Xenopus tropicalis: one gene and its partners. The protein of the gene in region 2 interacts with the protein of the main gene of each other region in a biochemical or structural test. Links are inferred from orthologs where the notes say so. Each region holds a gene or a part of one and is shown on either strand. Other genes may lie near its edges.

Region 1 (3,857 bases), on a different chromosome or scaffold from region 2:
TCGCTCAAACGTAACTACACTAGACAAAAATATGTGTAATAATGAAAAAAAAACTAGTGGTCATTGTTTTGTCCGCTATTCCAGCTCCCTACCCCACATAAAGTACAACTAACAAAGACAAAAGAAAGAATGTTGTAAAAATGTATTAAAATCTGAATTGTACAAGGTATGTGCTCCCCACATAGTTCTATTTACAGTAACGTCCTCTGACTGCACAACAGCGACTTTGGCACAGCACTGACTTCCGGCCTTCCCCAAAGTCATCGTCCTCGGTGTTTCACGGTTTTCAAAAAGAGAAAAGGTACCCCACTCACAGTAACTGGAACTTCTTGTCGTTTGTCTGTGGGAAGTAGGGGAAAAATGATATCTGTTAATAAAATGGTTAAACAAACATTTATTATTTTATTAAAATGCACAGTTATTTACACATATCGACCGCCCTGCTGAACATATGCAAGAAAAGCTGGCTGAAAGCATACATGGCTCCCAACGCCAAGGAGAATTCTGAAGGGAGGGACTAAGCAAGCTGCCAGAGTGCCAGGTATTTGAAGATTGCATTGAAGCTTTTAACTAATATTTTTGTTTGGGGGGTTGACATGCCCTTTGCTAAAGCACAAGATCCAGAGTAAGAGTCCCTTTTCAGAACTGGTAGGGGTTGGGCCTCGGTTGAGAAGGGGTGGGTTTGGCGCAAGTCTGGACATTACTAGTTCCCCAACATATTCAATAAATAATGTTTTAGGGGGAGAATGACAATGTTTGATGATACCGCAAAGTCTATAGTAAGGAAATTTTGAGAGTGGCGTAACAGCACGGGGGGCCCAGATGGTGGGTCTGTGTAAGTTTCCCCTTTCCATCCCCTTCTCTGAAATATTTGCCACATGCCCCAAATGAGCAGCGAAGATTAAAGGGAAAACTAGCACACATCAGACCCTGCTGCCTGGGCCCCCGTGTCCCCTGGATGTGCAAGAGCGAGGGTGGAAGGGAGGGGCTGTGCTACAGGGTATGTGCCAGGCCGCCTCAAAGATTTTTTGTGTGGGGCACAGCCCAATCAAGGTACTCCACTTAATATACACTGAGCCAATGGCAGGCAATTACGACTCTGATGCAGAGAGAGAAAGCTATGAGGGTGATAGGCTATATTAAAGGGGAACTCCACCCAAACACAACTTTAGCTTTTTAAAAAGACACATAATTTCGAGCAACTTTAAAAATAATATCAGTTAAAAAATATGCAGCCTTTTCATGACACTCAAATAAAATGTAACAGTAGTCGCCTGTCCTCAGCCTACATCCTCCCAATCCCACAATTCCCTGCTGCACACGTGATGTCAATAAGGAAAAGAACATCACAGTGCAATGCATTGTGGGTTGTGTAGTTGCATGCTGTCTGTAAGCGGTGGAGAAGCTGTTACCATTAGTAACATCAATGTTTTAGTCCCTTCTCCCCTGACAGGATTTCGAAGGAGTCACATGACCTGTTGACCACATTGAAATGTTGGAACGTGCTGGTTTTTGTCCTGTTGCAGTTTAAGACAAAATGCAACAACACAGATATTTCAACAAAAAAATATACTTGGGTTGTTGGGGCTTGCGAACCCCAACTGTGTGCGGCTAGAGTTTTACTGATTCTTTCCAGAACTCTAGTCAGGCCCTCTTCTTCTTCTTCAAACCACTGCCTGGTTGCTAAGGTAAATGTAACCCCAGCCCTTTGGCAGGTAAGATTTCAGCCACCAATAGCATCCTTTTTTTCTATTCTGGCAGAGAGGAAACTTCCGCGATTTCAGTGAAATCGCGCCGCCGCGTATGCCATCCCACCGGCGATTTACATTTTCGCCGGTGGGATGGCAATTCGGGGAGATTAGTCGCCCCCGAACAGGGAGATTTGTAATCTCCCCGTGTGCAAGAGCCCTTACACTCTCTTTTATATTATATATCTATATCTTTCTATATAGCGATAAATAGATAGATATACATAGATATACGCAAATACACCCATACAATATAAAATTCACATTACATGACAGCATGGAAACCAGTGCATTCTGCATCAAAATGAATAATCAGCCCTGAAGCATCAACTCCTAAGAAAGATTTAACCTTGTAATTTGCTGATGTTTCACTGGGAAGTCAGTCATTTTGTAAAGAGACATTCAGAGGATTTGGATTTTGGGAAATACAGCCACAATAGCTAGTTCATATATAAAGCTCCTGGCCCCCAAAGGTTTAGTTCCCCTTTTAACAAAATGCTTGAGATTTAGCAGTATTACATATGTACAGATCCTACTTACAAATCAATCATCCCTTTTAGAAAGTCTGCGCCTAACGTGTCTTGGGGGCTCCCAGGTGTCGCTATCATCCGTGTCTCCATTCTCTTCCTCATCATCTTGGTCATCCAAAAAGTCATCCTCGTCTTCTTCCTCTTCATCAAAAGGATCCAGACCAGCATCCTCTCTTTGATGCCTTTCTGCAAACCATTCCCTCACCTGCTCATAGCCCATGCGAGATTTGGAAACCAATTCGTCGAGGTCTTCCTCGTTAAGGAATTTGTGTGTCCCATAGTAGTCCTTTAGCAGTGCTTTCCCAGTTTTGTGTTTTGGCACCGTCACCCTCTCCCAATTATTTGTCCTTCTTGGACCCTTTGGACGCCCTCGAGGCCTCCCTCTTCCTCTACCTCTCGGCCTGCCTCTTCCCCGTTTTCGAGTTGAGGTTTGGCCATTCATAATGTTCTGGTTCTGCCCTTGATATTGGTAGAACCATTTCAGATTGTTATGCTTACACGCATACCTCGTGTCTCCAAACCAGGCCACAATATCACTCCTGGCAAGTCCTGTTTGATCCGCCAGCTTATCGTATTCTGCCGAGGATGGCCACTGTGAATGCACAAATGCATTTTTAAGCATGTGCAACTGTTCCGGGGACTTTTTTCCAAGCTTTGCCGGAAACATTGCCCCCGACTTATTTCCCAAAGCATCACTTTCCCCAAAATTTGCGTCCACCTCTTCTTTTATAGACAGGCCTGCATTACTCTCATTAAGGTCACTTGCTTCCTCCTTTATGCCTGTAGATCTCCTTTTCTCCGAGAACCAGGCATCGACTTCTCTTCTTGTTAGTTTAGTCTGAACCCTTAATTTGTTTAGTTCCTCATCTGTGGGTACAGAGTTTTTTAGAAAACTTTCCTCCAAAGCATCAAGCTGTTCTGCAGTCTTTTCCTTAAACTTCTGAGGTGTGAAATCTGGGAAAGGGTTCCAAGTTTGCCTGCTGCGTTGCGGTGGTGGCACGAGAGTAGGAGAGTCTATTGTTTCATCGCCAGAATCGAAGATTATGCCCCCACCGTCACTAGTGAAATGAATACCATGACTACCCTTTGAATTCCTTTGGTTGTATCGCGTATCACTAAACCATTTTTTGATCTCCCCTTTTGTGAGACCTGTCAGTTTTATTAAGCGTTCAATTTCGGAATTATGTGGAAACTGGCTTTTTAAGTAGCTAATTTTCAGTGCAGTCAACTGTTCCTTTGTTTTCTTTGAACGCATACTGAAATCAATACCTATCACAGTCTGTTCCTGCTTGGGAATCTGTGGTGCGGGGATAGTCAACACTCGTTTTGTTTCTGGTATTGGTTGGGTGGTGGCCAGTGGGGCCTTCTGCAGCTGGGCACTGTTTGGAACTCCAGCTACAGCCAATGCTATGGGTGTAGTCACAGGTAATGCATTTGTACCTGCAACCTGGGTGAGAACAAGACTTGGCTGACCTACTATTTGGCACGTTTGAAAAATAGAAGGCAAACCATTGGCACCAGTGGACAGATGAGCAGGAATCACTGTAATTGTCTGAGGAACGGTATGAACTGTACCGTT
Region 2 (3,857 bases):
GGGTTGGTCACAGTGGGGGGGGGGTTGGTCACAGTGGGGGGGGGGTTGGTCACAGTGGGGGGGGTTGGTCACAGTGGGGGGAGGGTTGGTCACAGTGGGGGGGGTTGGTCACAGTGGGGGGGGTTGGTCACAGTGGGGGGGGGGTTGGTCACAGTGGGGGGGGTTGGTCACAGTGGGGGGGGTTGGTCACAGTGGGGGGAGGGTTGGTCACAGTGGGGGGGGTGACCCCTGTATTAGTTCCAATTGGCCAGTAAATTCGGGCAGTTAATACATCCCAGAATACAACAAAGGACTCTGGGTAATTGATGCTTTATTTCTATTGGCTGTCACTGTGAGTCAGAGGGAACGCCCACTCCTCTGTGAGCCGTACCCAGGTGCCGTGTCATTGGCTAAGGAGACGTGTCACTCAGATTGCTCCGCCTACTAAATGCCTCTGCCCCTCATGCCCCTATAACGCACTGTTGGACCGAAACCCCCCCAGTCTGTGCCTCCCAGCCGGGCTCTTTAACTTCTCATTATTTGGCCTGGAGCGGGGTCTCTCATTGGCTGAATAGTTTTAAATTTTTACATTTCAAAGGGGCAGTGTACCACCTTCTTTAACATGAGTTAAATGAATAGGGCTTATCGCATACTATTTGCCTAATGATTTACTTACAAAATGCTTTTTAAAGCTGAAACTACTTCATAATTGTTCCTTGGAAGATAATTAGATTACCAGTGCACGTGTAACCTCCCTGCATAATGGACTTTAGGGCAAAACTACATGTACTGTTGGCTGAGGGCAGAGATCGTCCCAAAAACCTTGAGGTAGGCATTTTCATTTGATCTCCATTCTGTGTAGCTGCACTAAGGCCAAAGCTGTACCTGTCAGTGCACCTACACAGTAATGTGGAGAGAGCGGATCTGCTTCTCTTTGCCTGCCTACAAAACACAGGTGGAGAGAAGCGGAGCCAACACTTCTCGTGACTTTGCCCTTAGGAAAAGGGAGAGAGTGTTATATTGTGATCTAATGATATTTTGAATTGATAAATAATGTAGTTATGCACTTTGGAAAATACCATGAACTCTAGTTCAGAAATGTGCTGGGGTCTCCAAAACTGTGAACAATTCTGTAGTTATTGTTGATAACAGACACAAGTCTAGGCAGTGTCAATCTATTAGCATTAATAAAGTACTCCCTATAACTGAGGGTATAGTATAGAGATAAAATCATCATTATGGCACTTTATACATTTTTGGTAAATTACCTTATAGTCGAATAACAGGTGATGGTCTTAATTGATTAGGAACCCCTGTGAATTAAATCACTAAATTCTTTTCCCCTGGTCAGGGCTCCTTTTTGGAAATAAATGCAGTGGTCCAGGGTTATAACTTCAATAGCCAAACTGCCATCTTACCTCAGTTTCCCACAGATCCCCTGCACCACACTACGCGTGTGCACTATAATATCAGGAATCTTTATAACATGCACATATGCAAGTCTAGCGGAATCGCAAGGGATACTTGGTAAATTGGGGTTCGATAGCAGCACGATGCTTAAACAGGCATAAAGCTGGGCCGGTGAATTTTGTTTCACCAGACAAAGCAACGGCCCAGGGTAAATGTTAGCAATTTAATTCAATGGGGGAAGCCTAATGAATTGGCAGCCCTCACACAATTTGACTTTCCTCGTCTTAATAAGCATTGCCGTTTTGGTTCCCTTCGCATCAGGAAGAATAATAAAAGAGTGCAAAATTAAGCTATGAGGAAAGATGGGTTTAATTTCACTGCGGAAGCGATGTTTTAAGCAAACATCAAAACTCTTTATTTATAAGTTAGAGGGCACTATGGGAGTAATAAAATATAGACAGGGGATTACTTCTCAAAATGAAAAGAATGAAGGACAAGAGGGATACCTTTACATTTAAAGAATTGCCCTTGTTTCAGTTATCTCTTCAAATTAACCTCTCAACCTATATATAACACAGGAATACTTTGTTACTTCTACTCACCTGACTTTGTCCTGCAGTTACAGCTGTCTGTGGTTGCTGTATAATAATCTGCTGGGGCTGCCCTTGCTGGGCTTGAACCTGTACAGCCTGTCCTCCTTGAATCTGAATCTGCCCTGGTTGGACCAGCTGTATCTGTAAGAAAGGTTTAAACGGCAAGATATAGCTTGTCCCACTAAGAATAGGAACATAACCACAGTATTATGTACCTAATAAAATCTAGTTGATATTCTAACTGAATACTCGAATGTTTGTAATATAAAGCACAGAATATGTGCATTTCATATTATTCACATATCTAATGCACTTGCCTGCTGCAGTCCTTGGGATCCAGATACCGGCACCTGCATAAGAGTCTGACCTTGGCCACCCATGGCTTGTACCATGATTGGCTGTCCAGTAGAGGTGATCAGTTGCCCCCCACTGACTTGCACCATAAGTGGTTGACCTTGTACCTATGTAAAAAAAAATAACAATTGTTGTAAATCTAATTTAACTATACAAATATTTTATGCTGGAAATTTTCAGTAAAGACAAAAACAGAGAAAGCCACAAATACAAGAACTCTTAGCAAAAGGTGGGTTAGGGGTGATAGGCAATGACAGAAAAGCCAGGCTCATGCAAAGTAGGTAAAAGGAGTAACTCAAGGTATTGGGCTCATGCTGTACTTTGAATAAGTAAGCAAGTATATAAAACAGACAACATATTAAAAGTTCAAACATGATAAGTGCTTGGATACAAAGATTATACAAAATGCACTCTATGTGATAGAAGCATTATTCATACAAATACTGCATGGAGTGCAATAAATGTGACTCATGCAGCTAACAGACACAACTACCTGGAGGGTCTGAACTTGCTGCCCCGAGGCTGCTCCCACCTGAGCCTCGGTCTGTAACTGGACAGCAGTGACCGCACCCGGCTAAGGGGAGAGGAACAAGAAGAAACAGCCAGACCATGAAAAAGCAGCATGTGTCTTTCCAAAGATCACATACTGGAACATTCAGTGATTCCCACTAACTTCCTGCAACAAGGCACTGAACGGCTTTATAGTTTCAAAATAAAAAATACTTTTAAATAATACGAAATCCTAACACAATACACATCATTTCATAGAAATGCTCACCTGCTGCTGGATCTGTCCAGCCTGAACCACTATTTGCTCTGGGGAGCCGTTACTGCTTGTAAATTGCTCCATCTGCTCCTTAGAAAGACTACACAATGCAGTTTAAAGGCACCTATTAAAAGACAAAAGTGTGATAATATAGTTACATGAGGTATAAGCTGGATTTGTAGATGATGACGTATTACTGCTCTTCATTAGCTGACAAGGATTACTAAAAGGGGCAGTATATAGCCATTTGCAACATGAGCTTAATAAATAGGGCATTTGGAAAAAATTATCTTTGGATATTATTTTGCTTAAAAAAAAAAAAAAAAAGATATGTTTTTTGCTCTTTTCAAGCTTTCTAACTAACTGTTACAAAAAAAAAAAAGACTTTCTGATTATGCCAAATGTAGAAGAAGCTCATACAACACATTACCAGTCCACAAATAAGCATTCTATATAACGAGCCGTATCCTATCTCACGTCTGGCAAGGTCTTACAGGCACACGCAGCTGATATCTACCAACAAATGCCAAGTCTCACGTTTGTTTGCAGATAAAAACTACATATGCCTGCACCCAGGTGGCTTCAATGCTTTTGGGTGCAGGCACAACTAGGAGAGGATTGTCAGCGTGCTTAAAAAAATTTCGGAATTTTTTTTTTTTTTTAATCAAATAATAGGCAGAATACATGTTCAACACAAGTCCCTATTTATTGTGGTAATTTAAAGCAAAAGTCTATATAGGTGTATATTTTCAACA
Region 3 (4,586 bases), about 76 Mb from region 2:
GGCACTGACTGACTGGCAGGTGCATCCTCCTATGGGTTCCAGCTCACATTCTGTCTATGCAACAAAGCCACGCCCCTGACATGGGACAAAGCAGGAAGCTCTCTCTACACTACAGTGTCAGATCTGGGTGGAGCCTAAAAGCTAACTGCAAGAACCAGGGGAAGTGTTAGGAACTATACACTGCCCTTATTTTAGAAAGACTAGTATGACTTTTGACTTTATGACCATAGGTTAGACAGTGCTGCACAGGGAAGATATATGAATGTCACACACACATAAAAAAAAGATAAGGTCATAAATGTACTGAGGAATGACACACAGAAAGATGGTAGAAAGAGTGACCACCTTACAGGAGAAGGCAGGCCAATGCACCATATGCTACGTGTGGCATTAGCCTTAGCTTACCCCAATGTTAGTGAGAGAGGTAATGGTGCAGGTGGGTCATTGCCCAGGCATGTTAGTGTGCATTCCCAGGAAAAACACACAGTATTACTTATTTTACATTAAAATAATAAATATAATGGAAAGTCAATAATGGAAGAAAATTTGTTGTCAAAAAAAAAAAAAACAAACAGCTTTGAATGGGACCTATTACCCTGAATGCATGGACCTAGGTTTAAGGGATTTGAGTAATTTGCATCACTATACAAAACACAAAAGAATTGTTTTGCCCCAGATTTATGCAGCTAAGATACTATCGATTACAAGCTACTGTTTTATTACAGAGAAAAGGGAAATCATTTTTATAAATTAGTATTATTAGCATAATATCACATCGAATTGCTTTCCCCACATCCTGGTGCAGGCTAATAGAGCCCGCACTCTGGTTGGGGGAAACACACACACATATAATATATATATATATGTGTGTGTGTGTGTGCTGCTCCTACGTCACACATTTGCGCACAATGAGTGAGGAGTCTTGCTCATTATGCACATGCACGCTAAATAACATGGCCGCCCGTGGGGGCTGTTTAAAAAAAAAAACCTATTGTTTTCCAGAATGCGGGCTCTAAAGCCTACACCTCTGGTGGCGGGAAGAAACTAAATGGTGATAGGTGCCCTTTAAACTTAGTTCTATGATGGTCTGCAAGCAATTTAGAGCTTTCTGGATAAGGGATTCTATAGCTGTAGCACTCTATTACATATACATGGTTCAGCGTTGGGAAGATATCCAACATCATCAGTTGGGGGCGCCACCTCCTGCGATGGCCTAAGACAGCACAAGCTGCAGAGATAACCATGCCTAGGTGGGTGTTGGTACAAAGACAGTACTACCCACAATGGAATAAACTGGGTGTGTGCTGTAAGTGATATTTTATTGTTGCACAATAGCAAAAATAACACTCAGTGAAATTTAGTGGAGCATTGCCTTTCCAGCCTTTGCTACAAATCTGAGCAGATTTAACCCTAACTGCCATTTACACTCGGCCCCCACCAGCCGAAGCAGCAGATGCAGTTGCTGAATTTAATTAAAAATGTAGCTGCCAATAAGATGCAAGACTGAACGTGAATGTCAATTTAACCCTTCTACGGCTATGTCCTAGGTGCCATTTGCAGTATTAGCAACAGCACAAAGAGTGCCAGCATGTAAACAAACCAGCATGTCAAGGAGACAGCCAGAGAGAGAACAGGAGGGACAGGGCTGGGGGGAAGGGTTTCTGGGGCCTGCCCCAAGTGGGCAGTCAGGAACAGGGGGTGGGAGGTTTGCCAGCCAAAGGGTGGGAGGACAGCAGCCATTCTCAAAGAGAAAGGAGGAAAAAAAAAAAGGCCTCAGCCCCCCTCCCCCATGCTCATCCAGTGTACAGGCAGCCAAGGCGAGAGGGCTGGATAGTTCCCAGGCATGGTCCCTGCCTATCTGTGTATAATGCAATATGGGTGGGTTCCGCTTACCTGCCCCTTCTGGATGTATCCACCTCCTGTCCGGTTTTCGGACTTTATCGTAGGCATGTCATCGGACGTGTGCTCCTGATCTGCTGTCAGCGAAGGGCACAAGCACAGAGAGAGAGTGTGTGAGTGAGGGCAGTGAGTAAACATGCACACACAGGCTTACAACATGGCCGGCCCTACTTCCCTGAGAAACACAAACCCCTCAGCTTAGAAACAGACTGCTGAACTACAACTCTCACAAACCTCTCAATACTGGAAGTGAAGAGACTCACAAACATGTTTCCCATCTATCAGCCTAGATAGCCTTAGCAGCACTGTTGTGGAACTACAACTCCCACAACCCTCTGTAGAGGAGTACGTTCTAGAAGTAAAATGATTTACAAATAAATATAAATGGTCTACATAGGCTTCACCTGCGAGTAATGGCAACTCCAGAGGCAAACTACAACTCCCAGCGGCCCCGTTCAGCAGGTTAATGAAGGGATCTACCGGATGAAGGTCCCTCCCATCCATACGATGTCAGTGAAACTGCCCGAGCTGAGGGCGGATAATGGTTTCAGGGGAACTACAGATACCCCACAGCTACGGATACTGGGAGTGTTTGGGCGCCAGAGGGGCAGATATCCCCAGTGTGAGGCAAGGATTGCTCTGGGCAGGGGGGGCTACAGAAGGAGGGCCGCAGGCTTCACATTATAGGCGAAGGCAACGGGTTCCGGGGAACATTTTAGGGTCACGTATTGCCCTTTCCCTGTGTCACGAAAAGTACCGGCTACCATGCTAGGAGGGGCGGGGGGCAATTTTACAATTCTACCCCACCCACCGAAGGGGGCAGAAAAACAGGGCGGGAGAGGAGGACAGCAGGGAGGGGTTCTACCGCCACAACCACCTCTCCAGTTATAGGGAAAAGTAAAAAGGGGGCGAGGAAGGAGAACGAACGAAGTAGTGAGGGCGGATATGACTTTATTTCTACACCCCCGCCTCCTCCTCCGGTGGTACCGGCCGCTCTCAGCATTCCGCCAGCGAGTCATGGCGCGCAGCAAAAAGCCCACAAAGTGGCCAGGGGGAGCGATCCCTCACACAAGCTGCGTGCGAGCAAGCCAGGAGGGGCTCTGGGATAAGCTTGCGAACCCGCGTTACCTCCCGCCCTTATGCCCACTCTCCTGCTTACCGCTCATGTTGTTTCTGGGGCCGTAGGTACTTCACACAAACCTCGGCTGACGATGGCAACCTAACCTGGCTGCCGCGCGGCGGAGACGGTGAGTAGGCGGGGCTACGGGCGGAGATCGACAGACCGCCTAACCACTCCCGCCGAGGGGCGGCTCCACCCGCCCAATGGGGTGGCGCGGTGGGTGCAGTTAGCTGGAGACTGACAGAGAAGGCTGACCAATTAGAGGTGGAGTGACCCCGCCCAGCCACGGAGGCGGTGTGTGATGGGGGAGGGAGATGAAAGAATGTGGCGGGGGTGGTGGCTCTCTAGTCTGAACCCTTCCCAAGGTTAGAGTGACACTGAAAAGGGCCAATCATAATCGAACGAAGTCCAAGGCGTTTCATTAAGTGACGAATCATACGAGAAAAGCAAGCAATTGAAGAGCTGTGTGAGGAGGGGAAGGGAAATTAAAGTTTGACTGGTCGTTGTAGGGTTTGGGCGCCATTTGCTGGAATTGCAGAATGTCGCTCTTTAATTATTTAGAATAACTGGCCACAGCTATTAAAGTATTCGTTTTTATTCGGCATCAGCCTACGTGCAAATAGGAAGCAAGATGGCAGCAGTCGGAGTTGCGACTGAGTGGCTACGTGACTAAAGGGGCCGCATTATCTGTAATACAGAGAGGGAATGATGGACGGGTCGTGCATAGAAAATAGCAGGTTTAGAATAAATATCAGAGTTACAACAATAAAAAAAAGTGACATAGGTTACATAAAGCCGAGCACAATATATAAGGCTTATTTTCTTTATTGGGCCACTTCTTCCAAATTGATATCAATAATTATTAAGCAGCCAGTCCAGTAAAGCATTGTCAGTCCTATCATTAATAGAAATATATTGCTCAATAAAAAATGAATGCCTTTTCTTGAGAAAACAGTCCTGGCTGTATTTATTAGATTGTAAGGGCTCTGGCACACGGGGAGATTAGTCGCCCGCGACAAAACTCCCTGTTCGCGGGCGACTAATCTCCCCGAGTTGCCTTCCCCTGCAAATCGGCGAAAAAGCCTCGCGAGGCAACTTCGGCGATTTGTGCTAAATCGCGCCGCCGCGTGTGCCATCCCACCGGCGACTTACATTTTCGCCGGTGGGATGGCAGGGGAAGGCAGCTCGGGGAAATTAGTCGCCCGCGAACAGGAAGTTTTGTCGTGGGCGACTAATCTCCCCATGTGCCAGAGCCCTAAAGGTGTAACTGAGTCCATCACCATTAAGCTTCCATTTTATAGTACAGTTTGCTGATGCTTCCATGTAGCTCAATTCCCATATTGCTTGAGGCAAAACGACATAGGGGCACATTTACAAAAGCGTGAACACTCCGAGCGTATTTTCGCCGATTTTTTCGGGCGTCCGCACGACTTTTTCAGACGTTTGCACGAAAAAATCATAAAGGTTTTACCACTGTTTACAATTGTTCGGTACGAAAATTTCGCAACTTTCGGATCGCCAATACGATATTATCGTGACTAATACGATTTTTTCGTAAGCATTTTCG

What was found.
Region 1: the proteins of nfya (region 2) and zhx1 form a complex in vitro, tested with the Homo sapiens proteins (2 studies listed by BioGRID). The link is inferred for Xenopus tropicalis from reciprocal best matches to the Homo sapiens genes NFYA and ZHX1.
Region 3: the proteins of nfya (region 2) and sp1 form a complex in vitro, tested with the Homo sapiens proteins (2 studies listed by BioGRID). The link is inferred for Xenopus tropicalis from reciprocal best matches to the Homo sapiens genes NFYA and SP1.

Annotation. Positions count from the first base shown.
Region 1 is NC_030682.2:139,787,039-139,790,895, forward strand, and holds part of zhx1 (zinc fingers and homeoboxes protein 1), read right to left. Parts: coding exon 2,292-3,857; 3' UTR 2,289-2,291; intron 341-2,288; 3' UTR 1-340. UniProt on the Homo sapiens protein: Acts as a transcriptional repressor. Increases DNMT3B-mediated repressive transcriptional activity when DNMT3B is tethered to DNA. May link molecule between DNMT3B and other co-repressor proteins.
Region 2 is NC_030678.2:71,398,141-71,401,997, forward strand, and holds part of nfya (nuclear transcription factor Y subunit alpha), read right to left. Parts: intron 3,227-3,857; 5' UTR 3,187-3,226; coding exon 3,115-3,186; intron 2,911-3,114; coding exon of another isoform or gene 2,827-2,910; intron 2,444-2,826; coding exon 2,300-2,443; intron 2,124-2,299; coding exon 1,992-2,123; intron 1-1,991. UniProt on the Homo sapiens protein: Component of the sequence-specific heterotrimeric transcription factor (NF-Y) which specifically recognizes a 5'-CCAAT-3' box motif found in the promoters of its target genes.
Region 3 is NC_030678.2:146,983,973-146,988,558, forward strand, and holds the start of sp1 (transcription factor Sp1), read right to left. Parts: upstream 3,115-4,586; 5' UTR 3,066-3,114; coding exon 3,059-3,065; intron 2,752-3,058; exon of another isoform or gene 2,404-2,751; coding exon of another isoform or gene 2,304-2,403; intron 1,977-2,303; coding exon of another isoform or gene 1,974-1,976; coding exon 1,894-1,973; intron 1-1,893. UniProt on the Homo sapiens protein: Transcription factor that can activate or repress transcription in response to physiological and pathological stimuli.